2 linked regions of the Danio rerio genome follow. Each later gene encodes a partner of the first gene's protein in a complex. Links are inferred from orthologs where the notes say so. Each region holds a gene or a part of one and is shown on either strand. Other genes may lie near its edges.

Region 1 (15,597 bases):
AAACCCAGAGGATGAAGTTCTCTGAGATCCCTCAGCGGCTGCATGCCCTACTGATGCCTCCAGAACCAATCATCATCAACCACGTCATCAGGTACCCACTGATAACATGTTAGTCAGAATCACTATCTTTCCTTATCTGCTACGTCATCTAAACTGCTGTTTACTTCTTAGCGTTGATCCCAATGACCAGAAGAAGACTGCATGCTATGATATTGACGTGGAAGTGGACGACACCCTGAAGACCCAGATGAACTCTTTCCTGCTTTCCACGGCCAGTCAGCAGGAGATTGCAGGCCTCGACAACAAGGTTCGAAAGTTTCACCATGTTCGGAAAGTTATGTCTTTGTTCTGGCTGAATAAACAGTCCTCAAAGTGTTTGGCGAGCCGTCACAGGGGGAAAGCGTTACTTTTTTCTGCTCTTTTGTTTTGTGGCTTGGTCTGCTGCATATCAAAGTGACTCTTGGCAGTGGTCTGAATGTTTGAGCAGATTTGTTTTGTATATACAAGAGGTGTGGTGCAGGAGAAAGGGTTCTGCTTTCCATCATGTTTTGTCATTGTTTTTTAAAGTGTCCTAATATTGTGTTTGAGTCCCTTACAGCAGGTTTAAATGCATTTAAGTTGAGAAAATATTGTAATTTTCTCAGAATATGCCAATTATAAGAATCATTTTACAATGATTTTGATGTTTGTTTGAAAATTTAGGCTGTAAACCCCTTTCTTAAATAAGACAACTCTGCTGTCATTGGACAGCTTGCCATTAAGGCCCCGTTTACAGTAATGCATTTTAGTTTTAAAACGCATAAGTTTTGCTACGGTTAAGCCATCCATCCACACTACGCCGGAGTTCTCGAGCGCCGAAAACTGAGCGTTTTGAAAACGCTGGAGAGGCCGTTTTCATTCTAAAAAGCTGCTGCTCCATTTCAGTGTGGATGAGGAAAAACGGAGACATCTGAAAACGGAGGCGGGGCTGCTGAGATTCGCTACCTGATTGAGGCTTTTGTGTCATTGCGTATCCTTCCCTCCTTCGTCAAGTTTCTATCACATGACTATAACACATGGCTTTAATGCTACTGGAAGTTAGTACTGAAAACAACAACATGGACACAGAAATGGGAGCGTTGTTTGCACTATTGTCTGTTTTAGGCGCCACTGTGCAGTTATTCATTTGTTACGTTCGGTAACAACTCGACCTCGTCGTCTGTCCACAAAAATACCTCTCTTGCTTTCTTTGCCCGACGCGTTTAATGTACAACCGGCGTTTGTTGACTAACAATAACCAAATGCCGAGCGAGACGCATGCTTTCTGTTTATACTAGAACTCGCATACCCAGAGTGCGCGAATGGTCACGTGATATACGTTTTTGGTGGCGTAGTGTGGACGGAGATATGTTCAGAGACGCTAGGTGAAACGCTAGTGTGGATGCAGATTGTTTTTGAAAAACGCCGTTTTAAAACTAAAACGCACTAGTGTAAACGGGGCCTAAGTCTGTTTTGATTGGTCTTTCCATGTCTGAAATGAAATGACCATTTCAAAATCTTAATATGTCATGAGTCGGTAGAAAATGAAAATCCGTTGATTTAAGTGTGTTGATGTAAATCAATAGCTGACAAAAGATTCATTAAAGTGATTTTTCTCTATGATGTTTTGAGAGACACTAGCTATGTTTCTATTTCAAGATATGAACTAAACCTATGTGTAAAACTAAAATGTTGCATTAAACATTTGTGAAAGAAGCAGCATTTCTATCCAATAAATTGAAGAGACTAAAATAGTCATTATTGATAAACTGGCACCAAATATCAAAATAAAAAATGGAGTTTGCTAATGTAGGGGAAACCACTTGGGGTCTTTTTCTTATTTAATAATTATTAGTACCCAGAAAACCAACGAATGCAGTTATAACAACCTTTTTAGAGACACAAGACCGTTCTGGAGGTAATAATTTGACAGACTTCAGTTTTTCCTCTATGATTTTTTCCAGCTGTGGCTGCAGGTCTTTTACACAAATCTACCAACTACCGGTGGTGTTGTTTCAATGACAAATGGAGAAATGTGGCGAGCGCAGTATTACACGTCGAGATCGCATTTATGTAAAGTTTATACGAGCATGCCAATCTCTGCTTGCGCGCCGATTTCCTCTGGTCGTGCACAAAACTTTTTGCACGTCCTTAAACACGCTGCTCAAGCGCAGATCTTTTCGTGCTCTCTTAAATAAACACTACTGAAGAGCGATTTACTGTGTTGAGTATTGAGTCTGTCTCCAACATTTATTAGATTTGCAAGGAATATTTCTGAAAGTCTCCAATAGACCTACAGATCGGTATTAATGCATCCTGGAGTAAAGTGAAACGGCAATAAACTCCAATAAGATAAAGTCTTTGTTTGCAGAATCACAGACCTTAATCTATAAATAAAGTACAATTATGGAAACTGTTCATCTTAACTGAAAGCTACGTCGTGTTTGCTGGCCTCACGCATCACACACCTGTCAGCAAGTCAGTCAGTCTGTCAGCACTTAACCTTAAAGTGTTAAACAAATAGTTCACTGCCTTACTACGGCAACAGAAAAGTTTGCGCTGTTATAATTTACTTACCTTTTAATGCGTTTTGGTGCGATTATAACCCGCTATTAAAAACAACAACGACAATGAATGAATGTTGTGAATTAAGAAGAAGCTGTAATGTAGTCGTGTCGGGATGAATTTTGGTGTGGCGCCCCGCCATGGAAGAATGAATGTAGTGGAAACCATGGACTTTGGCTAAGGCATTTTAGAATGACCAAAGCAAGATTTTCTTATAAAAATAGAAAGATGGTAACTTGGGTAATATTTTTATATTCATCTTTGCATTGGGTAATTACAAACTACAAATAACAGATTTTTCTAAAGCTCGTGTCCTGCTCTTAAATGTTATGCATTTCTATTTACTGAAAATCTTTAGTAGTCCAGTGAACACTTCTGGCACGGCAGCCGGACTCACCATGGATAAATTGTTGCCACGGTGAATCCAAAGTTAATGTGATCATGGTTTTCAGCTCGAGTGATTATGAACTGCTTGAATCAGTAAGACAAATCAGCTGTAGGTGAAAGTTCAGTTCCTTTTTATTTCTTCTATAAAAGTTTATATGACCAACGTTCATTGAAAACGTGGATTTATAGTGATGATATAGATATGAAGTATGTTTATTGATGTCTATTGTTTTTTTTTTTTTTTACTTTGATTCGAATTGATTACATTTGTTAAAATTACTCTCAAATTAGTTTTTATGCTCAGGGAAATTACCTTGCTTTCTGAAGCATTGCCAAAACTTATATTGACAAAACACAAGTGTTTATAAATGTGAGGGTTTTGGGTCGATTACTTAGTGATTTAACTAAGTTGAGTTGTGAACTTTCACACACAAGTTTGACCAATTTATTTTTTGGATGTTCACCTTTGACCCAGTTGAATCAGTTGTCAGTTTGCAACAGTCTAAATCTCTGTCGTTCCCAGTCAGTGGTTGAACTTTGTACTTGGTGAAAGTTTGTGTTGATGAAAGAGGTGAGATTACAGCAAAACCTCTTCGATTGAGTATGATTGCTTTTATATGAGCTCAATAACAAAGTTCATATCGAGTACACATGGTTAGTGGACCAGCACTAACGCTCTTATAATTAAAGTGTTGCAAATGGTAAACAAGATCACTCATGCCAGTTGTTTGCTTGTTTCCTCAGATTCATGAGACCATCGAAACCATTAATCAACTGAAGACTCAGAGGGAGTTCATGTTGAGCTTTGCGCGAGACCCGCAGGGCTTCATCAATGACTGGCTCCAGTCGCAGTGCAGAGACTTGAAGGTGAGATCAAAACAGTCAAAAACTGAGCCCTAAGCATCATACTAACATGTTTAATGAGGATATCATCATGTTTTAATTGCATTTAATGGCACACAGTGTGTCCGCGGGGTCTTAACGTCTTAATGGTTTAACATGAAAAATAAGGCTGTCCAAAACCACCACCTACTACTCAGTAGACACTGCATTTGTATTAAAACGTACTACTCTGCCGTTAGAAAAGTACGTTCTATACAGTATGAATGTGAACAGTATGAATGGAACTCTGACATACTACATTTACCATTTTTGCCATGATCACATGATTTATTTAGTTGCATCTTTTCACTCCCATTCATGAATTTTCTTGCGGGGCATCATGTGATAGCACAGCATGCATGGGATGCACACTTCAGAATCTCGCTGGAAGTAGTACTTCTCACATACTGATTTTCGAATTCTATGAATTTAGACATGCTACTCAGCTCACAGTTTTTCGCCCACTATGTAGTATGGTAGTATGTGATTTCGGACACAGCCCAGATTTTAGGCCTTAGTCTTAAATTCAATTAAATCAGATCTTGCAGGTCTTAAATAATTTTAAACAGGTCTCAATATTCCCATATCCAGGAAAAGCTACTCAATCGGGCCAACACGCATCCAATCACCAACAATCCATCTCAATAGAACTATTTATAGAACTATTTACCAATATGGTTTAATTATCATCCTTATAGTAATATTTATTTAAAAGTGCTCTCTGTTTATAGTCCATATAGATCATTTCAATGTGGTCATGTCATTGGTCCATGAACATTTTCTGCTTGTTATCAAACTATTTCATAACTGTAACAAGAGGCAATTCAATCATCACTTAATCTTAAAACGGCTATATTTACATTTATTTATCAATATGTGACTCTTTTTGGATTCTCGGAAGAAATAGAAATTAAAAATGTAAAACAGGAAATGTATTGGGACCGCTGTTTTTGTTTACATCCCTCAAAATGGTCTATCTGGTGAGTACACTGACCTGGACAGACTGTTGTGCATTTAGTTTAGTAAAGTTTTTTTTGTTTGTTTTTTTTTCAAGATAAGTTATGTTGCAAAATGTGTATGCATACTCCTAGAGTTTGCTTGTTTTGACCATTTATTTTAAATGTGTGGCTAAGAAAAATCATCGAGTTCCTGGTATTTTGGAAGTCATATTTTGATGATGCTGTGACTGAGTGTGGAATCGTGGGAGTTGTGTTTTTTATCATCCTATGGGACACCTGCAGAAACCCTGTTGATGGATGAGCTAAAATATTCAACACCTGTTATCATGGTGGTATAAAGATGAGTAAGGCTGGACAGGGTATCTGCAGGGTCTTAAAAAGTCTTAATGTTTTCAATTTCAAAAACAAAATTGTTGGCCTTAAGTCCTAAATTACTGAAATATTGTGTTGTAGGTCTTGAATCATTTTAAATGGGTCTTCATTTTCTAAATGTTCATGTAAAGCTGCCCAATCAGGCTGACACCCATCCTATCACTAACATTCCATCTCAATAAATGTTTTTTAAAAAGTTTATTTATTAACTCTATTTAATAAAAAACAATTAATTTTCTTCCATAAAATAAGTTTTTTTTTTTTTTTTTTTATGTTTTAACTTGGCCTTTAGGATAAAAAAAATGCTTAATGTTTAGCCTTGTGCAAGTATAAAACTTCATTCATAATGGTCTTTATAAGTCTTAAATTTGACTTGATGAAACCTGTAGAACAACTGCTGGAAGCAAAACACTGAACAATTGCTGATAAAAGACGAGTGTGACATCGCATGAAAGCAACTGAGGTTTTATTATGCCAGAATCCACCACTTCCATTTTAAAAACAAAAACCCGGATATCGACTGTATGAGACATCATTAGCATGAACACAGCACACACGGTCTCACTAAAAATGCTTATTTCACTGACTTTGAACGGCTTTTGTAATATTTGACTGTCATTACTTGCGTCTATTAGTCTCTAATGCTGTTTGGATACTTTAATGAAAAACCCTTACATATTGTGTCTTCAAGCTGCATGGTTTATTAAAATGTGTAGCAAAAGTGCTTGTAGAAATGGGTTGTGTAACCTTCGCCCAGACTCGGTCTTTCTCCATCTGTATGTTTGCTCACAATGTTAGTTGGTGGACTGACTGGACTTTTAATGACTTGGGGGGTTGGGAGTATTTTAAAGAGGCGTTTGTGAGAGATGTTGCATTTTTAAATGGTTTGCGGAGAATCAAGCTTGCTATCATTTTTCTCAAGCTTAATTTATCCATCCAAAAATGTACCATCTGTTGCAAAGCAGTTGCTTGCGCTTCCTTGGGATTGCACATCGTGTCTTGAGAGTGTTGCGCTCTGGACAGAAGCCATTAATCAGTAACCGTTGTTCTGCTGACGTCTGAATTTGGTGTCCTTGCAGACGATGACGGATGTTGTCGGAAACCCAGAGGAGGAAAGAAGAGCCGAGTTCTACTACCAGCCTTGGGCTCAAGAGGCTGTGTGTCGCTATTTCTATTCAAAGGTGATGCTTTATACTTTACAGTTCTTGTTTCCTGTTAACACTGCATCCATTTTAATTATAGTTTCTCACATAATCTCTTGTGATCTCTCAGGTCCAGCAAAGGAGACAGGAGCTGGAACAGGCTCTTGGCATTCGAAACACATAAGCAAGCCTGTGGCCGTTACGACACAGGACCAGAAGGGATTCTGGGTAGCGAATTTCCTGCTGCTTGGCACTGCAGATGCTGATCACTACAGTTTTATTACGGTTTATCTTGTGCTGTCCTGCTGTAGCTGCCCAGGAGTGACCCTTCATAAGGAAATTACCTTATTTTTGTTGTGACTCCGCCAAACTAACAAACCCCTTGAAATTCTGCTGTCCCACTTGATTTTTACCTGATTCAAGCTAGATGATTTAGCGATGTTGTTGTTTTCCGACCAAACTGACTTGCTTTTTTTTTTTTACCGCTAATATCGGAACTCCAAACAAAAATGGTAAAAAGTATTCTCCGTTCATGGCTTCTTGGAGTCGTTTAATTTTGAAATGATCGATATTGTCTTTTGATATCTTAATGTTCTCATAATATGAACTTTATGAAGATCTAGTCTAGTTAAGCATAGATGACTGATAATGATGTAGTGTAGTACCTCAGCTCTCTGAAGATGAATTATTCGGAGGAAGTTCCTTAAACGAGTGCGTTAAAGGTGGGCTCACTGGTTAACATTCTCTGCAATGACTTTGAGAACTCGTCTGTTCAGTAACCGTTTTAGATCCACAAGATTAGATGTACTGCTGATCCACCTGTTTGATTACAGGTCTGTTGGGCACAAGCTTTGTCCTGGCCTGTAAAGTACTTCCACTCTAACCTCGCTGTGATATGTATTAATATATTTAGAGAATTGCCTATATGGTTTGTTGGTTCGTTTAATTAATTTTCATTTTGTCATTCTGAAAAGTAACATGAAATAAACCTGCCAATGCAAGTACTACCTGTCCATGGCTACCCAAAAATCATGTTTAGGAATACTATCAAGTGATTGAATATTTAATCGATGCACTGCAGATAGGCCATGGGTTCTTCCACTAAAGTAATTCAAGCATTTAGAAGCCAAGTGCTAAAAACTTTAACATTCTGAGTAGTTTAAGTTTTCTTTAAGTCATGCGTTTGCTTATTTTATATCTTTTTAATCCTTTTTTTCCCCTTTAATGGACCAAATGTTGTATTTCTGTTAGCCCTTGTGTTATAATAAAGATTATCTTGTATTGATGCTCACCTCGGTGTCGAATGTGCTCGCTAAATTTATTTTATTTCTTTTCCTTCAGGCCTAATGACGATTTTCAAGAATGACTCAAGATTTTTGTTAAATCCCACATATAACTTTTTAAACATTTGTGATGTTGTGCAAACAGCTTAATAGCTAAATTGGTAGTTGTAAATCGAATGTTTGAGGGTTTGCTAATGTTGATTTAAGATGGCAAATCCTAAAGTCACATTCAACTTTGGCGCCAACAACATCCTGAAAATATTTACTGTATTTTTAGTGTCATGGTTAATGATTGCATTTGATTACTTAATTCCATCGAACTGTTTAAATTATTGCCTCAGGTGTCACCCATTGGGTTCATGCTAAATACATGAGGTATTGCAGCAATGTTTCTTGTGTAGAAACGTGTATCTATTGGCAGATCTAGGAATTTTTAAAAGCAGGGACCAAGGCGGGGCCACAGTTTACAAAGAGGGGGCAAGTTTTTCAATTGGTGCGAGCACCTAAACCAGGGATGTCACACTCAATTCCTAAAGGGCCGCAGCTCTGCACAGTTTAGTTCCAACCCTAATTAAACACACCTGAACAAACTAATTGAGTCCTTCAGCCTTGTTTGAAACCTAAAGGTAAGTGTGTTGAAGCAGGGTTGGAACTAGACTGTGGAATTGAGTTTGACATCCCTGACCTAGACTCTGGAATGCTTGATTCTAATAGGTCAATCATGACATTCAGGCTCATCCAGGTACTGCAAATCATCATATAAACATTCATTCTACAATTGCAATGTTGAGCTGGTTTATGGGAACATGTCTTGTCGTTGTAATTCAAAACAGTTAAAATCATAATTAATGGGGTCTTTCCACATTCAAATCTTGATTTTGGTGTGCTGGGAGGGTTGGGTTTATGGGTCAGGCCATCTACATTATACCTATGGAGAGGTCCTTATAAACCAAAATGTAGAAGTCAAAATTATTTTCCCTCCTGTGATTTTTTTTATTTTTTATTTTATTTTTTTTTATTATTATATATTTCCGTATTGATGTTTAACAGAGCAGGATATTTGTCACAGTATTTACTATATTATGTTTAATAATTTGATTTCACTATTGAATTCACCATGAAGTGTACCTTTAGCGTTGACATAACTCAAAATGGTAATTTAATAACTCGTATGACAGCTATGAGCGGAATCCTAGAGTTACCTTGTAACTCTGACATGTTTAGTCTACTCGCATATGACTATCAATTTTGGTCTGTTTTAAAATATGTGTTTGAAAAACAAACTATGCCAAGGAACATTATTACAATTTTAATCCCTCTTTTGGAAAAAGTACAGGGACTATAGCACTTGTCATTCAAAAAAAAATTGCTATAGGTAACACCTGCGTTCGACATGAATTAAAGTGCGTCTAAGTTTGAGCTTTGCTATAAATCAGTTAGGGGAGAGGGGCACTACAGGAGCCAACCCGATTTAAACGGGGCCGGTGCCCCACAGATCCCCACAGACCCTGCGTATATCCTAATCTTCACTGTTTTAATAAATTCTTTGTTGGAAGCAAATATTTACATGAATGTCTTTTTTAAACAGCCAATGTAACGTAGTGCCAAGAGCTAAATAGCAAAAATTGTGAATGTAATTTATTATTTTATTTTATTTTTTTGTCGATGTTAATGCCAATGTTGTTTCAGGTTAGCAAATAGCCGTTAGGTGCATTTTTGGCGCCACCAACGTCGTGTAAAACTTTACCATAAACGCTTATTGATTTACGTTTTAAATTAAGCGTTTATCGTATTAACGTCGTTAATGATAGCTAGACTACTTACCTTTCAGTAAGATGTTTCTGTTTTAATTGTAGTCTCGGGATTTCCTCAGTATTGGAGAAATATTTCTTATAGCCTATTATAGAAATGTAATAATCTTCGCGGTACAATTATCAGTTAATTCAAACGTATTCCTCAACCCATACTTAACAGTTGTTAAGTAACTTTAGGTAGTGGTTTCTAATAATAATAAATCATCGTTGTCACTTGTCAGTCCAGTATGTATGAGAAGAAACCAGCCAATGCGCGTTAAGGGGAGTGATGCGCGTTCACAGGCTATTTAAATGCGCGCGCACAGGATTTTCTCCGGTCCGGCAGCGGCTCTCAAACACACCAGAGTCCTTCAGCCAGTCCAGCCGGGACAGAAGCGCAGCATGGCGGCCAAGAAAATCTGCATTATCGGCTCTGGCAACTGGTGCGTGACATTTACGTATTTTACATTCATTTTGCGCATATACATGTATTATTGTAATGCAGGGGGCAGCGGGGGCTGAAGTATATTTGGAAGCAGCCTGTTTTAACACCCAAACTGAATTGATTTCTATTTTGGGAAGTTGATTAAATGCGGTATATTTAGTATTGCACGGCTTCGCTCTGCGGATATCAAGTGTAATCCAGGAATACTTGACCTTTCCGTTAATATACTTGAAATATCAGAGATTACACAATGTTTTGTCGCTGTTAAGATCCTAAAGTGATTTGAATGTTTCTTAAATGGGTACCTTGCTATTTATTTTATTATGCATTTCATGTACTTATTGTCTTTAATGTCCAGATGTGCTTTGTTTGGTTTGCTGTAGTTGCTGAGGTAATATTTGCTGAGTAATGATTGACTCAGGTGTCCAGTGATCCTCTTTAAACTCAAAGAAAAGGCTGCAGACCCATAAACTTTAGCCTGTTCTAGAGCATTGCATATACTGAAGCAAAGCTATAATATGCAGTGGATTAATATTATAATCATCTATTAACATCTCAGCAGCATGGTTTCATGTTTCCAATCTTAGAGGATTATTCAGTTTATTTTTAGAAGATGTTTTGTTGTACTGGTGCAGACACACAAGATTTAAAGGGATAGTTCACCCCAAAAAAAAGAGAAAAAATTTGTCATTTACTCAGCATTGTCACGATTAATCTTTAGATACTATACCAGCTGAAGTATTACAAAACCAAGTAGTGTTGTGATACTGTAATTCATAACTCAAATTCTAAAGAAAATTGTCAGAAATACTATATTTTATGTTATATGCATATAATAGGCCTACTTGAATGTAATTCAACATTTCCGTAAGGCCAAAAATATTATTTGCACCCCACTTCACCTAAAATTGTTTATTTTGTAGATAACTGACCAACAAAAATACATTAAAATAAAGATACAAGTTATACAGAATGAAGTTTGTTACGAAAGAGCATTGTCACCCAACAAAATTAGGCTATATGAAGTGGTCAAAATTTGTTTCAACATTTCCTGTTGCTATTTTGGGTTTTTCATTTATCATATTTCAGTCTGTTCTTTGTATGTGGATTACTCAATTAGCTGGATTTGGTTATTGACGATTTGACACGATCCAGGATTATTTTGTTCTTCAAAACTCATCCGAGAGTTGTTGTCATAGCAATATAGGTCTGGTAGCTCAAACCTGCTCAGGAGCAGACTTGTGTCATGCAAAAAGGATTAGATCGGGTCTTTTCAAGCAAAGATAATACTGAAAGTATGTACCGAATGCTGACATTTTCCTACAGTAGTAAGCTTTAGGTTATATACATTTGGGAAAATAGTCAAATGGTTTTAAAAAAATGTTTATTTTTTTTATATTTATATTATATGCATATAAAAGTTTAATATATAGAATTAAAGTTAAATAAAAGTTTTAAAAAACATGCAAGTATAACTTATGCAATCTGCACTGCAAAATAAAAGTACAAAAACTGTCACGGCGGTGTTCTTTCCCCAAGGAGTTCAAAGAGAACATTTATTATTATGCACATTTTAGATACAAACGCATACTATTTTAAGGATTCAGCTTTAGTAGTACATTTTTTCTATATCATAATAGATAACAGGCACAATAATCAACTGTTTTTTTTTTGTTTGTTTGTTTGTTTGTTTAAAGGAATAATATAGTCAGTCATTACTATGTTTTGACAGCTAATATGCCAGTGATTTGATGCTTCGCAAAAGTTTCAGACACCTTCACCAATATCAAAATTCTTTTTTGATGCAGAATTAATTTAAACAGCCAGTTATTATGCTGATTAATCAATCCGCTCTAACTGTAAAACTAAATAAATTGATAAATACTTTTGACACATGAAAGTGTAAAGCCTGCAGCCCACAACAAATGTGTAGTTATTGCGTATCATATTTAACAAACCGTTTACTATGAATTTTATGTAATTTAGCTCACATGCTTGAATATTAATCAGATGATGTCGTTACCCTGCTGTGCCGTCAGCCAATCGCTGCATTGCTGATCATGAATTCGAGGATCATTAGATCAGTCCTTCACCACACATGCAGCGATCTCAGATCAGTTCATCCAGACATATTAATCTGATTAGCAATCTTGTTTGAAGAACCAAATTAGCCAGAAATCAGTTATCAAGATGCACAGATCCAGGATCTGCAAAATCATCTTAGACCATTTAAGTACGGTAAGAAGAACTGACCCTAGGTAAAAATCCAAAGTGATGCAAAATTTCACTTTGTGAGTCATCCTTTTAAAGAGATCGTTTTGGTTGTTGTAGCTACTAAATAGTATTAACAGGAACAGAAATGAACTGATTCAGATGTGCGTTCGAACCGGAGTGTTAGAAAACGTGCAATAGGCTACCATAAATGGTGCAAATTCTACAGTTTATAAAAATAAAAAAATGGTCTGTTGTTGCACAAACGTGACTATTTTAGCTACTTTTCCACATGCAACATTATCTATTGTAGATAAACCATTAATGACGATACTACCGTTTACAAACTTCAGTGGCACCGCCAGTATTTTGGAGCTATAGTATCGCAATACTACCATAGTACCGGTAAACCGTGCAACGCTATATCAAACCTTTTTCTAAACACAAAGGAAGATAATTTGAAGAAATCTGTAAGAACTGACTTCAGTAGTATTTCTTTTGGTTGCAGGTTTTCAGCTTTCCTCAAAGTATATTATTTTGTGTTTACCAGAATAAAAAAGCAAAAATTTGGAACCACTTAAAGAGTAAATGGTAAATTCTCATCATTAATCATCTCATTAATGAACACTTTTTGAATGTCTAAATATCAATAAATACTTATTATTATCACAGTAATTTCCTTACACCAATGGCAACTCGCATGCTTTACTACTTGAGCACCTCAGCTCTCATAGGACTAATTAAAGAAGCATTATATAGTCTAGTCAGTGTCGCAGTAATGAATCTGCTTCTTGAGCCCTCAGGAGAGCGTCATCTGTCATTACTGATCCAGTGCTGTGTGTTCATTACAGTTTATCAGTGCTCTTTAAGCTGAGTTTTTCATTTCCTCAGGGGTTCTGCCATTGCCAAGATAGTGGGCGCCAATGCAGCCAAATACAACACTTTTGAGAACACGGTGAACATGTGGGTGTTTGAGGAGATGATCAATGGACGCAAGCTCACCGAAATCATCAATACTGAACACGAAAACGTCAAATACCTGCCTGGACACAAGCTGCCACCTAATGTGGTGAGAATGAGAAGCTTGTTCATAGCAAACTTTTCTCTCTCTCTGGAACATAAAAATCAGTCATAAGTGTATTTTATTTTTTTTTTATGATTTATACGTCAAATGAAAGTTGATTAAATAAGCTTTTAACTGATGTCTAGTTTTAGGATTGTACATTACTTGGATGAGATATGAGTATTTGAGAATCTGAGGGTTTAAAAATATCTAAGTATTGAGAAAATCGCCTTCAAATTCAAAAAAGATAAGTTCATAGAAATATATATAACTAATCAAGAATAATTTTTTGATGTACTTACAGTTGGAAATGTACAAAATGTTTTATGTAAATTCTTTACTAAATGATAGATTTTTGACTCGTAGTCATTCGTATTTGGTATATATTTTTTATTAGTTAATAAAAATTAAATATCACAAGATATAAACCATTATTATTATATCCAGGGTGCAAATTCTACATTGACTTGATTGAGGGGGTCAACTTTTTCAGTAGTAGTTTGGTAATGCATGCCTTAGTGAATCAAATTTATGAATGTATTTGAATTACATCTAATTTATGAATAAAATGTATACATGTTCAGTGTTTTGAGGGATAGTTAGTGACTATTTTAGGCTACTGTCCCTACATATTTTAGAGCGGTAATCACAATACTGTAAAACTGCTTTTTTTATCCAAGGTTATCATACCGTCAGAAACTTAAACTGGCCAATGCCCATGTTAGAGTTAATCTGAGAAAAAACATATGAATAACAAGTTAACATGAGAAATTATTATTAGTACCATATTGGTTTTCTTAAAGATGGCAGTATTTATCTTGCAGCTTTCTAAAAAATTATTTAAAATGTCATGTATAAAGTCATAAAGAAAAAAAGTCTGATATTTTAGTTTGTATAATTTTCTCATTAAGTAATAAAATGTTATATCCAGCGGGCAATTTGTAGATAAACAATCGGGGGGGCTCAACTTTTCCGGTAGTAGGTTGGTAATGCATGCTTCAGTAAATCAAATGTATGAATGCATTTAAATTACTTCTCATTTATTAATTATATATGTATACATTTTAGGGATATTTTGTGATTATTTTAGAGGTTACAGTAGGTAAAATTAAGCATCTAATTTTTCTTTTTTTTTTTGACTATATGCAGATACACCTATTTTACAAGAAACGTGTTTTGTGAATACTTAAGATCGGTGCTCTAGAACTGCCTGTTTCAGACTGTTGAATCATATTTTTCCTAGCATTGATTGGAGCGATTATGCATTCACAATGGTATGAACCTTTATAGGAGGGGTCAAATGTACATTTATATTATACATTTTTAATAAACAATATTTAGGATATAAATCAGAGATCAGAGAAAGCTATTTCTTACTATTAACCCGCTGACCCTCCCCCCATACATCTTGTTTTGATGTTCTTCAGGGGGGGAATCAAGCGTTAATTAGGGGGATCAGCCCCTCCTCCCCCCCAAACCCCTGTTATTTGCTCCCTGGTTAGGTCACAATTCTAAGGAAAACAAAGCCACAATTACAGTTGAAGTTGCTTTCTTACAACTTTCTTACAAATCCAAGATTAAATCTCCTGAATTCTGATTTAATATTTCACAATTCCGTTTTTTGTCCACCATAAAATGGTTAATGTTTAATGTTTAAATTACAATTGCAGAAACCAGTATTCATAATAAACCCCATATTAAACGTGTTTTTCTCCTAAGTTGGCGGTTCCCGATCTGCTGGAGTCGGTGAAGGGTGCAGACATCCTCATCTTCGTCATCCCACACCAGTTTGTGTCTCGGATTTGTGACACAATCAAGGGCCACATTAAGCCGGACGCAGTGGGAATGTCCCTCATTAAGGTAAGTTTCCCCATTTATGCTTACCTGTTCTTCTGTGCAGTAAAGCTTGAGTTTATACCTGAGTTTATATCGATGTGTGTGTGTTTCGTAAGGGTGTGGATGAGGGTCCTGACGGGCTGAAACTGATTTCTGATGTCATTAGGGAGAAACTGGGCATCACCATGACTGTGCTGATGGGAGCCAATCTGGCCAATGAGGTCGCAGATGAGAAATTTTGTGAAACCACCATCGGTAAGTGTGCTGAAAAAATGCATCATTGCCACAATACACACAAATATGGTTAATGTTTTAAAATATCTTTACATTACTATTGTGTTTTAATGATGTCATAAGTGCACAAGATTAGTACTTTTTTGTTCATTAAATTCAAAGTAATATTTGCACACACTTTTGACCACATTATCAGACCCAAAAGTCCTGAAAAACACCTGTAGCCAATCAGCAGAAAGAGGCGTGTCTAGTACTGTAATTTTAACTGAGACATCAAAAAGGGGGGAGTTTTTATGGATGTTTGATTTGTAGTTTTGGTAATGTGTAAAATGTGGTAATGATGAAAAAAGTTTAATCTGTAGTTTTGATAATGTGTAAAAATGTGGTAATGACGTATTGTGTTGTGG
Region 2 (16,339 bases), on another chromosome or scaffold:
GCCGAGGTTTACGCTTAGGGTTGCGAGCATCCTCTCGACGACGGTCCAAATCCATGCGCTGAAAGTGGCGTTTATAGATTGAATAAGTTTGAAAGTAATTGAAAAGTTTCATAGTTGTAGTCTTAAAATGACTTCATTTGCTTTTTAAGGGACAATAATACTGTGAATCATCCATGCACCGAAATATCTGTGCAAGCAGTAAATTTCATGCAATTTTACCATGACTTACCATGAAAAGCTCAAATTCGTCCTCATTACGAGCAATCATTTGATTGAGTGTTTCATCATCTGGAACTTCATCTTCCTCCTAGTATCACACAGACACATATGTCAACAAACATATTTAGAACTCATTTACTTAATGAGTGACTAGTTTTTTCAGATCTGCCAAGGGGATTTCTAATTAGCATCACATAAAGGCACCTCAGACCATTTTGCTTTTCAAATAATGTTAGTATCAGAACAGGCACTACCAGACAAAAAAGAAACACGTAGTACTGTTCCCATAAGAACTTCAGCTTAGGTTAACTGCACTCCAACTAGTCTACGAAAAATAACATCTTTCTTTTAGCCTTTGTCTCAATTAAATTCAACAGCAAAACTGACTCTGGTCTCTGCTGAATTGCATTCTCTTATAGGTCAAAGTAAAATATGTTCAGGTCAGTGATGAACAGCGTTTTTTTTTTTTTTTTTAACAAAATGCTGAAAAAAGGTTAGGGGTTTGTAGTGGTAAAATTATATAGTGAGTGATGTTTACAATAACTCAGTTTGACATTCCTTCAAAGCAGGAGTGATGTTGGAAATGGCTGTTTTTGTTTCTGCAGCTTTTTCATTTGTGAAAACATTGTTAAACTGTTATGTTCTACTAAGAAAGAAATACCTAAAGTTTTAGATAGATGTAAAAGAAAGTTATGACAAAACCTTGGGTGGACATTCCTGTTAATGCTTTTCATTTTGAATAATTTATTTATGTTTTTGTATGCCTTACTGGTGTGTAGCAAAAATTAGAGAACTACGATAGAAAGTTGGTCATTTCAAATCTGCGATTTCTAGAATAATGCATCTTTATAATGTCACTAACTCATTCTAACAAAAAAGCTGGTCGCCCATGAAAGACAATGAGTACTGTACGTTTACATGGGAACCAATATTCTGACTTTAATCGATGAAGACATTACTCTGTTTCATAATGTACTCTGAGGTCATAATAAAACTAAACAGAAATCGTATTAAGACATCTGGAGTATGCTAATTTTAGTGCAGTACAGACATGTAAACACCGCAATCAAACTATTACTGTCGTGTAGGATTTTCACCGCTTGTGCGACAGATAGTTTCAACACACACGGCTGTTTGACTCTATTCTCTGCACTTATCAATTCAGAGATGGACCACAGACACATATATCGCGAAATGCGAAAGGATTTTTTCTCTCATTCGGCGTGAGGTATCAAATTCCATTAAAACAAAACTCTTTTAGCAGATTATTATCGCATCCAATATCTTGTTAGTCACGGGGGCATGCATGAAATGTTCCGGAATGAAAGTGCAAGCACCAAACTGCAGTTAAAGTCGAAAATTAAAAAATGAAACACCCAATACAAACACCAAAGTCATTCAAACACCTCTTGAATCTTCAGGCATTTTTGTTGTTATCTGTCTTTGTGCTATATCATTGCTGTTCTCTCATTTTGATCGCTACGTTATAAATTGTATAAAGCAAGACAGTTGTTTAGATCACCTTCACAGAAGACAAGACTGGGCTAAGATGAAATGCATCTGTTCACTTTTAAAGACTTTACCCCTTCCACACATTAGAATACAGAAATTTGAGAGCCCTGCAATGCACACAAGCAAAGCAATCATAAACGGGACACATGGATGGAGAAACCCTAATTACTGTGTGGAGCGACAAGAGCATTCAATAGAAAATTCCACTGTCTGGTATTGGCATCATCTCCAAAATTGAACTCTGTTGTATTTGCATATTTATTTATATCCATTTTACTAAGACATTTTTTGGTGCTGAAGTGAAAATTGAATACACATTGCCAAATGGATAGCAAGTCAGTCTTTCGAGTGACTAGATGTAAACCGGCTATATAGGAACACAATTAATCATTAAAAGATTACATCTTGATGCATGCACATTCTTATCCCTAAATTGGACAGCACAAAATATTGTTTTAACATCCGATGCAAAGTGAGCAGCAGTCAAAACGTCAAGTAGGCATCACAGTTGACCAGATGCCATACTTTGATACATGTGACCTGTGTATTCAGTCCTAAGTTAAAAAAATAGAGTGAAAGTTTATCATTTGCTAATGTCTTTAAGCCGTTACTTCCCTGTCACTTGCACAAAATAATAACTTTAGTATTTCTGTGCATGGCGACGCAGTGGCGCAGTAGGTAGTGCTGTCGCCTCATAGCAAGAAGGTCGCTAGGTTGCTGGTTAGAGCCTCGGCTGGGTCAGTTGGCGTTTCTGTGTGGAGTTTGCATGTTCTCCCTGCGTTTGCATGGGTAAAAAAGCCAAAGACATGTGGTACAGGTGAATTGGGTAAGCTAAAAACGTGCTGTATAAGTTGGCGGTTCATTCCGCTGTGGCGACACCAGATTAATAAAGGGACTAAAATGAAAAAATGAATGAATTTTAGTTTGTATCTTGTATCTTCAATTTCTATTGTATCTTGGTTCTTTTGTATTTATCTTTGCTTGTAGTTTGTTTATAACATTTTATGCAGATGCACTTCCCAACAAAATCTAAAAAACTATTCAAGTCATCTGTCTTGGTGTCATGTTTTCCCCCTTCAAATTCATGCAGCCCTATTCCTAAATGATTGCTGTGCTAATTATAAAAAAAATTGTGTTAACGCAGCGGCAAAGTGAATGTGCATAGTTGTGAAACAGCTTTGGTCTTTAGCTTTATTTTGCTTTTTTAAACCACAGAGCATTGAATTGTCTCAGTAAAGAACATCACAAGAACTGGGATGAAGGTTCATAGAAAGGATATAAACACAGTAGCAATCAAAACTAAATACATAACACTGTGCAGCAAATAAAAAATCAGTTGCAGCATTATGCAAGTTAAAAATTGTTAATGAATAATTTGTGAAGAAAAAAGCCTTGAGTGAGTCACTGAATAATCATTCATTCAAAAAAAAAAGTTTTATTCATTCAATTTCTTTCCGCTTAGTCCTTTATTTATCAGAGGTTGCCACAGTGGAATGAACTGCCAACTATTCTGGCATAAGTTTTACGCAGCAGATGCCTTTCCAACTGCAACCAAGTCCCAGGAAAGAAATAATTAATTGAAACAATTTAAACAATTTTAAATAGACTGATTGGTGTGGTGCGCTATGAAAAGAGAGAGGAGTGGACATGACAGGCTAAGCACGGGAAAAATGTGAGGAAACCATAAAAGAGACCCACGATTTTTTAGTTTACAAAGTTAAAATGCAAAGAAATAAACATTAAATAATTTAATGCCCTGCTACATATATGACAGTTTATCCATAGTTGTGTTTACATACAGTTGAAGTCAGAATTATTAACCCCCCTGTTTATTTTTTTTCCCCAATTTCTGTATAACGGAGAGATTTTTTCAACATTTCTAAACATAATAGTTTTACCAACTCATCTCTAATAACTGATGTATTTTATTTTTGCCATGATGACAGTAAATAATATTCTACTAGATATTTTTCAAGACACTTCTAACTAGGCAGGTTAGGGTAATTAGGCAAGTTATTGTATAATGATGGTTTGTTCTGTAGACTTGTGAAAAAATATATAGCTTAAAGTGGCTAATAATTTTGACCTAAAAATGGCTTTAAAAAAAATAAAAACAATATACAACAAAAGAATTTATTCTAGCTGAAATCAAACAAATAAGACTTTCTTCAAAAAAAAAAAACAACAAAAAAAAAAACTAACAAACATACTGTGGAAATGTCCTTGCTCTGTTAAACATCATTTTTGGAAATATTTAAAAAAGAAAAAAAATTCAAAGGGGGGCAAATAATTCTGACTTCAACTGTATTATAAAATATATAGGTTACACTTAAAGTCAAAGGCTACACATATATAGAGTTCTATCCTCCTGAATTCCCGCGTCTGAATACAGACACAATGGATAGCAGGTCTCTTGCCCTATCTATTCACACCATTATCCCTGCCGGTAATATGGAAGATTTTAAATATAGGCGAACACAGCAGCATGCATATAGGCGATGTGTCTGAATAGTAACGAATGCAACTGATAAAAGACAAAGTCCACCATTCTCCAATTCTCACAATGCTCTCCTCACAAAAATGCTTGCAGCACAACAACAGCTTGGATGTGTCAGAAGCCCGGACAGCATTGTGGGGAAAGCCATGCAACAAACTCCATGGTTTATGATAACAAACACATATGACCCTACACGTATGGCTAAATACTGCATGCCATGCGGGGTCACGGTCTCACTTGGCAGGTCTGTCATCGGAAATCACATGCTCGGATAAATAACTAAGAAGCAGGGTCTTCTCAAAGGATAAGGAAACTCAGCTATGAATAATAATGAGAAACCGACACGTGGACAGGCAGACAAATGCTACATCTCTGATTCTGATGCCGCCAAAAATGATTTTAAACCCGTAAGATGGAATTAGCTGACAAAAGCTCAAAATTATCCAGATTTATCCAAAATTAAAAAGCTAAAAGGTGCTAACGTCGTCTTAACTGATGCTCAAAACACACAAATCTGTCATTTTTTTAAAAGTAGTTAAGGGTTTCTTGAACCTTTAATAAATAACATGCTTTTATGTAAAAAAAAAAAAAAAGTTCAACCAAAATGTTTTATTTTTACATTATTACCTCACTTTCTACTTCTTCAAAACCTATTTGAGTTTCTTTTGTTATACTCAAAATAATATATTTCATGGTATTTTTTCTACTATGGAAGCCAGCAACCAGCAATCTTCAAGATATTTCATTTTATATTCCACAAAAGAAATGAAGAAAATGAAGAAATGAAGAAACTCATAAAGCTTTAAAACCACATAAAGGAGACTAAACAATGATTCTTTTTTATTTCTTTTTTGATAAAACTGTCCCTTTAAAGCTGTCCATACTCTGTTCTGGAGGACCAATGTCCTGCATATTTTAGCTCCAACCGAGTTTGGACACCCCTTCTTTAAGGTGTTAAAAAAAATTATGATAATAAATATGATAAAAAAGGCATTTCTCAATTTATCCAGAATCATGCAGCCATCAAACAGTTTTACAAATGGAGCAACCTTGTTATTTACTTTTTTTGAAGTAATTTTTTACTTTGGTGCATCATTAGATGTAATTAGTAAGTCTAACAATAACTCAGAGCGGATCTTGTTACAGTGACTCACCATATTCTGTTCCTCATGCTCCAGAATAGCCTGTAGGAAAGCTCTGCGCTCATGGCTGGAGGATTTCTGATCAAACATTCCTGCCTGAATGACCTTCTGATCAACGTTCAGTTTGTACTTGGCAGCCGCAAGAATTTTCTCCTCCACACTGTTGACGGTACACAGGCGCAGCACACGTACTTCGTTCTGCTGGCCAATGCGATGAGCTCGGTCCTGGGCCTGTAAGTCCTGGTGGTGGAAATCACAGCAGCGTGTTATTATTAGATCAATAATAATCAGAGTGGGGGATTTTAATTAAAAAGAGGCATAGTGCATTCTTTGATTTGTTTTCTAAAGGAAGAACAAATGGATGCAAATCACTGTGACTTTCTGTGCACTGTTTGTGGAGGAGGATGGATGGGTTAACATTAGCATCTTCTGCTGAAAATGTGTGGGGCAAAGGCACATAACACAACAAACAACAATAAAAAAAACAATTAATATATACATACATTACAAACGCCAACAACAAATTTACTTTTGTCTGCAGGCGTAAACAAAATGTTTTAGATGATATACTTTAAGCTAAAGGTCTGCATTCCTGCATAGCAAGAAATCTGGGGCCTGGGGCCATGTATCAATGCTGCGTATGCACAAAAACTTTGCGTACGCCAGGTTTCACGCTCAGAATCGCTCACGTTTGGATTTACTAACGATGAAATGAACGTGGGAATGTTGGCGTACGCACATTTTTTTTTGCGTGTCTGTTTTATTTCCATTGGCGACTCCTAGAGGCAGTTGTGTTAAATTGCACTTTACAAAGAGTCTTTGAGCCGTGCAATGGCAGCTGTATGAGACAGGTTCATCTAGCAGGTATATAAGGTTTCCATACCATACAGTTGACCAGCCAAACATTAAAGCGCTATTTGCAGCGGTTGCCGGTTTTCCCAATGTAATCGGAGCTATCTACTGCACGCACATTGCTATAAAGGCGCCATCTGAAGATGAATTTGCATGCGTGAATCAGAAACATTTCCATTCAATAAATGTGCAAATAAAATATGATGCATGAATGAATGAGTTCATCTGACGCTGGATTCGAACAGAGTTCATGCTCGAACGTGTCAAAACATGTTAACATGCGTTTTACGAGCTGCGCCACTGAGACTATTGAGTGTACTACAACATCTACAACTATAAATAACACTATTTCTTTTTTTAATCCACAGTGCGATGTTCAGACTTAACTGTGTTAACCGCATCAGCTAAACTCTCCCCACTCTATTTTTCTTCTTTTGTTGTTAATTCCGGAGGACAAACTTGCAAATAACACCGTTTTTCTCTGGTCTACCTCCTAAAGGAGCACCCTCAATTCACATTCTGTTCAAAGTTTCTCTTTTTGCTTGCTTTTGCCATTGCTTTTTCGTTGGGTTTTGCCAAAGTAGAGTCATTAGCATATTCATACGGGGGAGGAGGCAGGGAGGGGTTTTGCGCTCCTGCATGTTGCACCTTTGTGCGTACGCAATGTTTAGGAGGATTTCCACGCAAGTCTTTGTACATGACTTCACGGTCATGTACAAAGACTTGCTGGACTTTTGGTCAGGTCCCAAAGTCCAGCAGTGGGACCCAAGCAGATTTCTTGCGATGCAAATAAATTTCTGAATAAAATGCGGTAATTGAGAAAACCATCAGTAATTTAAATTGAAGCGGTCGCTCTAACAATAGTGCTCCAGTGTCCCAATATAATTTTGGAATAGCATATCTTATTGAGCACCGGTACAGCCAGTGCTCTTGACTGTTACACATGCTGAAAGCATGGACCAGTGCTTTCTGCATGTGCATTTTATTGGCACAGTCTGTGCACGCATCATCTGCATAACGGTCATCAAAGCTGTCTTTACCAACATGGGAGAGCAAAGTGTAGATTGGCTGTCCTTCAACTTGCATTAAAAATGGTCAGTTTACTGTTAGGAAACCCATATCAGGCAAGTCTGATGTATAGGATTCTTTTACATGTGTCATATACACAAATGGAAAAAAATGACCCTATGGACAATGTGATAACACCTCAAAGTTTTACCCAATAGCAGTCGCAAGCAAAATAAATTATAGCCACGCACAGACCTCTACTTCAAGCAAACAATTTTATTGGACTTACATATACTTATTACATATACAGTACCATCATTTTTTTATGAAAAATTATAATTAATACAAGTGTTTATTATCTTATGTGATGTCAACTACCTATACAGGCATGTTTCCACTTGGGACTGAAAATAAAATAAAATAAAATAATAAAATAAAATTCAGGCACTTTAGATCAGTCAATATGCAAAATGTGCTTTGTGACAAGTGGCAGAATATTAAATTTGAGGTCTCATCTCATTGTCATAGAGCCAAGTCGCCCTCACAAGTGTCAAGTTGCAGAGAGACCTCAAAAAGTACTGAAGCCTTTACGAAATCTGTCAAATATAGCCTTAAAAGTAACATGCACATTATACAGTACTCTTCAGCTGCTGTTACTCAGGCTGTCTAGTTAAGGAGAACTGGCAAAAGTACAATCAGTGTCTATGTAGGTAAAAGTAATTAAAATTTTAATTATATGGAAATGACCAGAAAACTAAATTAAAGCTATTATTCATTCATTCATTTTCTTTTCAGCTTAGTCTCTTTATTAATCTGATGTTTCCACAGTGGAATGAACCACCAACTTATCCAGCATATGTTTTATGCAGCGGATGCCCTTCCATCTGCAACCCATCTCTGGAAAACATCCATACACTATGGACAATTCAGCCTACCTAATTGGCCCTTCGCTAAGCCACACCCAAAAAACGCCACCCACCAATCGTGGCTTAGCAACCGTAGCTATGCGCAGGAGCTCTGTCAAGCTTTCGAGCGAGGGAAACAGGCCAAAGCGCTGTGCATATTGATTGTGCAAATCTGATACCCGGTATCCTTAAAGTTTGGACTGGGTGGTGGAATTTTTTCCCTTTTCAAAACCTAAAACCCAAGGGGAGAAATGCCAGCATGGATCAATCTCTGTGAGGGGTGCTAAAGGAGCGGTGTTAAGTCAGTTTTGTTTTCGATATTTCTGACACATTCAGTCATAGACGGCAATAACTCACACACCTCTTACCCTAAACAGATCTAAAGTGTGTTTATTACAAAAATACAAAACAGGTCATGTTTCCCAGCTGTCTTTTTCTTTTTTCGCTCGATATTATGAGCACTGCTCCATTTAAGCCTTTGGAGTCACACAAATAGCAATCATATTTCCATCTGTTTCAAGCTTCGAATATTTGAAATTACATATCAACAGAACAAAACCGAGATGTGATCACAATCTGAGCACTTGCGATCAGTATACTTTACAAGCAGCTGTTTTTCAGTCATTTATAAGCCTCGATGTCCATGTCAGAGCTACAATTCACTGATGTTTTCGTCTGTCTTTTGGAGATTTATTCATCTGTGACGATGCTATAGAGGGTTAGTGTCTGCTTTTATATTTGGCATCGGATTAATATTTGCTGGTAGGGAAAATCTATTCGTTCACTTCTGCTATTTATACTTTGATTTGCATTTCAATGTATTTATCTCTTTCACTTAACTGTAAATTAGAATAGAAACGCTATAAAGAGCACACAAACATACGTACAGACGGTGATAGGTGTTCACTGTTATGGGTAAATGATGCTAATATCTGGTACAAATCCATCTATTTCCCCTTCTTGGCTGTTCTTTCTATAAATTAATGATGTAGAAGCACTGTCCATGCGTTTTTCCTAGTTGGTAAGTAACGCTATACTTCATTGCACAACAATTAATCTATCAGGCTTTTTGGCTAAAAAAGAGAAATCAGGGTTTATTTAGTTTTACTGAATTATTTTTAAATGTCACCTTTCCTGCTGTGCATGAACTGAGCTGTTGAATGGTCAGCGTATGAGGCGGCTAGGCTAAGCTAGCTTCAATTTTGATCCGGTTATTTTCTAATCAGTTGCCTATTATGTCGTGAATCTACCCCTGTAATGCATACTGCTGTCCTTTTTTGTCTGGCTTTCTCGGATATCTTATCTGTTGGAAAAAAATGACTAATTTTATCCCTGGCAATGTCTGAAACTGGCGCATACACATTGTAATAGACGTTGCAGGCAATAAAGCTTGACAGGCATAGCAACAGTAACTAAGGAGGGCGGGGCTTAGCGAAGGGTCCATTCACCTGTGCCCCATGTCTTTGGACTGTGGAGCACCGGAGGAAACCCACGCAAACGCAGGGAGAACATGCAAACTCCGGAGCACCCGGAGGAAACCCACGCAAACGCAGGGAGAACATGCAATCTCCACACAGAAACGCCAACTGACCCAGCCAAGGCTCGAACCAGCGACCTTCTTGCTGTGAGGTGACAGCACTACTTACTGCGCCACTGCATTGCCTAAAGATATTTTAATGTATTAAAAATAAAAAGAAAATGTATATACAGGATAATTTCAGATAATATAATAAAAGAATAAAACAAAATTAAATAAAGAACCTAAGATTTAAGACCATAATTACAGATAAAAAATTTTTTTATAAAGGTTTGATGTAATCAAAATCAAATAACAGTTCAAAAAAATCAAAAGAAAAAGCTACCTTTTTTCTGCTAGGGTAGAAAAACAGACCTCCACGATTACTTCAAACAAACATGCACTTTGAAATGTATTTCAAGTCAGATCTAGAGATGACAGATGACTGCTGAGCTGAAAACTTGCTATGCGACTGTCTAGTTCCTCTCTAATCACAGCAGTGAATCACACAAACCTGGTGGGGGTTCCAGTCGCTGTCAAAGATCACAACAGTGTCTGCAGCTTGCAAGTTCAGCCCCAAACCTCCCGCCCTGGTGCTCAGCAGGAAGATAAAATACTGGGAGCCTTCCTCATTGAATTTCTTCAAAAGCATCGCACGATCCTCTGACTTTGTAGTTCCTGGAGGACAAAACCAGCAGCAAAGGAGTGTTAATGAAAGAGAAAGGGCAGCATGTTTGTGTGATCACACTTATTAAAATTTCCAATTGGAAACCCCCAAGAAATAAGGCCCTAAAGGACAGGAAAACATTAAAGAAGGACTGCGCTGATTACTGACCGTCCAGACGCAGATAAAGGAAGTTACGGTAGCCAAAGTAATCCTCCAGGATGGTCATGAGGGAGGTCATCTGGCAGAACAAAAGCACTCTGTGATTGGTGGCCTTCAGTTTGGGCAGGATGCGGTCCAGTAACTCAAACTTGCCAGAGGCTCGGTACAGGTCAGGGCTAGGTGGACAAGAAAAAAAAAAGCACAACGCTAATGTCAAATCTATGATGGTGTACCTCCACTGTCCAGAGCCCGCGGTCAGTTTAGTGATCCATAATTGACATGAATGAACACTTCATGGTAACTCTTAAGGTTATGTAACGCTCGATTTGATGTATACTCACCCGCTGATAATGCCATTTGGAAATCCCAAATGTTCAGCAAAGGATTCCTGAATAGATACAAAAAAGATGCTTTTAGTGTAGCTCATGCTATACAAGTAGGAAAAAAATACTGACTGTTTATTACAGTGGCACTGCTCGTTGAACAACTAACAAGGCTTACATACAGTTTATGGCTGTGGCGATAACTGCAATTTTTTTGTCTGCAGAGGAATGACAGTAACCACAGAAACCACAGTGTTCACCGCAGCGTCTATGATACTTTGCCTTCTGGTAACTTGTGGTCTGTGTGAGTCCTAATGCCCCAGAAAAAGTTAAGGGGACACAACACTGTCCTGACTCTTTGTGGTCATTAAAAATCCCATGGCACTTCTCGTGAAAGAGCAGGGGTGTAACCCCGGTGTCCTGGCCAAAGTCCCCCTATCCGCCCTTACGATCATGGCCTCCTAATCATCCCCTTCCACAGAATTGCCTCTATCACTGTCTCTTCACTTCACCAATAGCTAGTGTGTGGTGAGCGCACTGGCGCCGTTGTCCTGTGGCTGCCGTCGCATCATCCAAGTGGATGCTGCACACTGGTGGTGGTGTGAAGAGACCCCCTCATGATTGTGAAGTGCTTTGGGTGTTTGGCCATACATAATAAATGAGCTATATAAATACACATTACATTACATTACATTACATTTTAAGATTGTAAGGCTAACTGGCATGAAATGTCATCAGTCGACAGATATTTCCCAGTATTTCTTTATTGCAATTAGAGATCACATAAATAACCCCGAAAAAGCTAAAGCAGTGCAAACAATACGATATTACTGTTGTGTTTGCGATAAGGAAAAACGCTAAACACATGCGGGTTTTTCTTACAGCAAGAAGACTCAATAGAAACAAACAGATGGCCAATCAAAAAGTAACCTTAGGTTATACAAAAGCCCAATCCCAATTAGATTTTTAACCCCTACTCCTTCCCCTTGGCCCATAAAACAAAGTGTAAAAGAGAAGGACTTCGAAATTTATCCCTAAAAAATGGGACACCACTACAAGACCTGCACACGTCAATATATGTCATTGCGTTCTCATCCTTCATATGAGATCAGTGCTGTAGTTATTCCAGTTGCTTTATTTTTTTGGTATTTTTCTTGAGGAAATCACTTAAGGTATGTATTATGTTATCATAACAATCTAATGTGACAATAAGATCGTAACTGGACTGTGCATTTACAAAGTGGCCTTATTCATCAATGTAAACACACCAAAAACAAAACTAACATTATAGCACACACTGTTTAAAGCTCTTTCCCAGTCACTAGACTTTTTCTGACAGGGTATTCGAGTGTCATCGAGTGTCAGAATGTTGTGGAACTACTATACATAAGTTATAGTTTTTGATTATACATTGCGAAATTTAGCAGTTTTTATTTTAGCGTTTTTTTAAAAGCATGACGGTAAAACACAAATGCGGCTATGAATATATTACAACATGTGCTTGTTTGTTGTAAAAATTCACAATAATATAAAACAATACTAATTTGTGCATCTTCTGACCTCCAGGTGCAGTGACCCTGCCGTGGTGGATGGTGCATTCTGGGAAATTTTATTACTCCTTGGTTTCGAGTGTGGTCCTGAAAAATCTAAATTTGAAGGGCTATTCGCCCCTTCCTCTTAGCCCTATGCCTTCAAGCTAAAGAGAATTAGGACACCCCCAACCGCTCGTTTTGCACTTTCCCGTGAAGGGGTAGGGGTGTCCCAATTCTCTTTAGCTTGAAGGCGTAGGGCTAAGAGGAAGGGAGAAGAGCTAAGGGGTAGAATTTGGATTGGGCCAAAGAGTGGCCAACACAAAATGCATACATTCCTGATATGCGAGTCCTTTCTTACACTTAATACACAACAACTACTACGGCATAAATGCAGCTCTACAACATACAAAAGAGGGACATCAACTTAAAATGTTACTCACCAAAATAATAATGATTTGATCAGCTGTAGTTAGAAATTAGAGTTTTTCTCTTTTAAGGGCTTATTATGTGGTCTCTGTCGCCATCTTGTACATGGACGTCAACCGTCTTTGCTCTGCTCAGTGACAGGCTGATTTTGTATTATTATTTAAAACAGGCTCTATCCTTATACAGTAAATAAAGGCATAGTTGCAATCTAAACAACTACAATCTCGACTAAAAAAGCCTCAAAAGTACATTATGTTGTCTAACAGCTACAACATTTGTCAAACTATAATGAGTTTATTGATCTGTTGTCACTCTATATGGGCGGAGTAATACTGAAGGCTGAGGAGGCTGTACGAGTTCTGATATTGCAGAATATCGCACGGCTGAGAAAGCCCTAATTACATGTATATACCATATGGTTAGGATTAGAATGCAAGTTAGGTTCAGGGTTAGTTGCATGTAAAGCGTTAGCTTTTTTGATTGTTGATAGATATTTAAAGTGTCCCTGTTGTAGTTTTTTCAGATTTTAACATTCAGGTAGCATGTAATATAGCTGTTTGTGAAAGTACTTTAATGTAATTTTTGTACACCCAAAATGATTCCAAATTGCTTAAAAATAAGTCATCGGTAACTCTTTTCTAACATCCAGCACAAAACTGCAAAGGTTTGTAACATAACTGCATAATGCCTACCTATGCAAACAACACCCGTTTCAATCAAACATTTAGTTGAAGCTGAGGCATGAAGCAGTTTGGTTTGTGATGTTGATGTTAAGATGGTACCCCTTTTTCCACTGTCTCCAATTTGCATTCACTTTCAAAGCATGCGAATTTGGGCTTGAATTAGCTAGTGACATTGTTACTGTTCAGATATGTTAATGAACGTTTCATTACTGGTACATAGACAAATCATAACAAACTGGCCATCGCTAATTAGAGCGATGAAAAGACGAGTTTAGAAACACTGTGAAAAAACAGCTGTTGTGATGTATCTACAAAAACAAATGTATGTTTGTTTTTTGTTTGTTTGTTTGTTTTTTTACCTTAGAATTGATATAAACCTATTGCAGAAAATAAATCTATTATGAATCAAAAATTATTATTATTTTCAGACATAGACAGAAACTTTAAGGTCTAACTTCAGAGCTATGTAGTAGTTTTAGGTCTTGAAGAAGATTTTTTTTTTTTGGGCTCTGTTTTTTGGACCCCATTGAGTTTGTATGTCAAAAAGCAATAGCGTTAAAATATCTTCTCTTGTATTCTGTTGATATATTTAAAGTCATTTAAATTGCAGGAAAGTCAGTTATAACAGAAATTCAAGTTTTAGGTAAACCTATGTAACGTTAACTTAATAAACATTGTTCTATGACAGATAGTGATACCTCAATGTGCTGAAACATGTAGGGATGGTTACAGATCTTCTTCAGTTGCATGATGGTGTTCATTAGGGTCTTGGCTCCACCTTTACCCTGTGGAGAAAACACATTAAACACATCAAATCTGCACAGTGGTGTAAAAGTGAGTAAGCACACAGTTTCTCTGTTTACCTTCTTGTCTTTCTCCGAGCCATCTGTGAGTAGGATACCTTTGCCCTGCATGTGTCTGTACAGGACCTTCTGGATGGCTGACATGTCACATTTGATGACATACTCCACCTGTGACAAATGAAGACTCAGTGCATCAATATAGTTTGAACAGGATGACATACAGGTTTTGCCCCAAAGCTTAGACAGCTGACTTGTTTATTTCCTGCCTTATCAGGCAGTGACTATGCAGACAATGGCTGTTTCTAAATTCCAAGAACGCAGAGACACGACTCATGTTCTCGTGGTGACTGGTCTTGCAAGATTACCTCGAAAGAACAAATTTGGGGGAACGCGAGAACAAAGACCGCGTCCTGTGAGAAATGAAATGTGTTTTTCCTGATGGTCACATGACATTTATGCGCAATATAAACTATCCATAAAGACCCTAACAAATGTTGCACAATACAGATAAAACAAATTTTAATAGGAATTTCACCAAATAAACACTGTTAATGTGCCTTTATTAAGATTTTCATGGTAATGTTTACTTTCACTGTCTCATTTACGGAAACTCCTGAGATAAATGAGACTTTAATAATAAATCTATATCAAATGTTGCACTTCCCACCTCCTTTATTCAATGACTTCTGGGAACATCTTTGAAATTCAATGTTGTTTTTTGTACATTAAATGTTTTTAACAAAATCTCATACATATTGCACTTAAAAATCTTAAAGGGCACCTTATATATATATATATATATATATTTTTTTTTTTACTTATTGTTGAAAATGTTTCAACTAAGTTTCCATGAAAATCCGCCATACAGTCTTACAGTTATAACTGTCCCTTTGAGGGCAGCCTAATGCTAAAATGGCCCTCAGTGAAAATTAGTTTGACACCCTTGTTTTAGAATTATGCATTCTAATGTTATAGTTCTTGGTGGCCTTTACAGTATTTCACGATATCTGTGAAAATGCGTCAACACAGTATGTGAAAAAGGCAGTGACTATGTGTTGATTTCTGTGTGCAGTGAACCAAAGCAGACAGATGCTAAATGTCACTGAATGCTCTTTTCACTATCAGCTAATAATAAAATACATACACACAGACACAGACACAGACACAGACACACACACACACACACACACACACACACACACACACACACACACACACACACACACACACACACACACACACACACACACACACAAGAGACAAAGTGGATACACTTACTTTCTCAGGTAACTGAGACTCCACCTCTTTCTTCAGTCTGCGCAATAAGAAGGGACGCAACACCTTATGCAAACGACGAATGATGAGGATGGTCTCCTCTTCATTCAGATCCACCTAACAAACATCAGCGCAACCCCATAACCAAGAAAAAAAGTCATTAAAATACAGTGTAAGACGTAAAATAGACATCTCTAAATCTCTAAAGATTCAAATATGACAGTTTACCCTTTCTCCTGTCATTGCAAAAGGAGCATTGAACCACTGCTCAAAGGTGCTGCAGCTTTTGAAGATAGTGGGTAAGAGGAAGTTGAGCAGGGCCCAGAGCTCAGGTAATTTGTTCTGCAGGGGAGTACCAGTGAGCAACAGCCTCCTGGGAGCAACGTAGTGGGTGTTCAACACCTGTGTGAGCTTGCAGTGATGGTTCTTCATACGGTGACCCTCGTCCACAATCATATACTTCCAGCGAATCTGAAAATGACAGTTCGGCAGTCACAAACTGGATTAGAAGATCAACTCACAGGTATTGCAAAAGCAGACGCGTCACATTCAGCTTAAAAAAAGCAGTCCAAAGGATGTAATTTAATCACCAAAAGAAATGACTATGAGATGGAATAAAGTGTCATAAATGACTTTGAGAAAAAAGAGAAAGCACAATGCATATAATTATAACTCTCCATATGAGGCATATAGACTTCATTTAAGCCACAGAAAGCTTGCTAAAAAGATCTTCCAGCAAATTCCCCAACCTAGAATGACGTTAACAATGATATGGGAGAAATTGTTAGTTAATGTGAGAGGTGATCTGTGGTCATTCATT

What was found.
Region 2: smarcd1 (region 1) and smarca2 share a complex: the UniProt entries of both Homo sapiens proteins name them as parts of the BAF complex. The link is inferred for Danio rerio from reciprocal best matches to the Homo sapiens genes SMARCD1 and SMARCA2.

The regions. Positions count from the first base shown.
Region 1 is NC_133197.1:7,392,713-7,408,309, reverse strand, and holds the end of smarcd1 (SWI/SNF-related matrix-associated actin-dependent regulator of chromatin subfamily D member 1), read left to right. Parts: coding exon 1-91; intron 92-171; coding exon 172-307; exon of another isoform or gene 308-1,498; intron 1,499-1,831; exon of another isoform or gene 1,832-3,714; coding exon 3,715-3,837; exon of another isoform or gene 3,838-4,320; intron 4,321-4,391; exon of another isoform or gene 4,392-6,262; coding exon 6,263-6,364; intron 6,365-6,455; coding exon 6,456-6,509; 3' UTR 6,510-7,616; downstream 7,617-15,597. Other genes in the region: gpd1b (glycerol-3-phosphate dehydrogenase 1b), read left to right, coding at 9,804-9,844, 12,949-13,126, 14,840-14,980, 15,073-15,211. UniProt on the Homo sapiens protein: Involved in transcriptional activation and repression of select genes by chromatin remodeling (alteration of DNA-nucleosome topology).
Region 2 is NC_133180.1:46,072,002-46,088,340, reverse strand, and holds part of smarca2 (probable global transcription activator SNF2L2), read right to left. Parts: intron 15,991-16,339; coding exon 15,748-15,990; intron 15,637-15,747; coding exon 15,523-15,636; intron 14,413-15,522; coding exon 14,305-14,412; intron 14,227-14,304; coding exon 14,140-14,226; intron 10,866-14,139; coding exon 10,819-10,865; intron 10,654-10,818; coding exon 10,487-10,653; intron 10,330-10,486; coding exon 10,166-10,329; intron 5,611-10,165; coding exon 5,383-5,610; intron 308-5,382; coding exon 230-307; intron 59-229; coding exon 1-58. UniProt on the Homo sapiens protein: ATPase involved in transcriptional activation and repression of select genes by chromatin remodeling (alteration of DNA-nucleosome topology).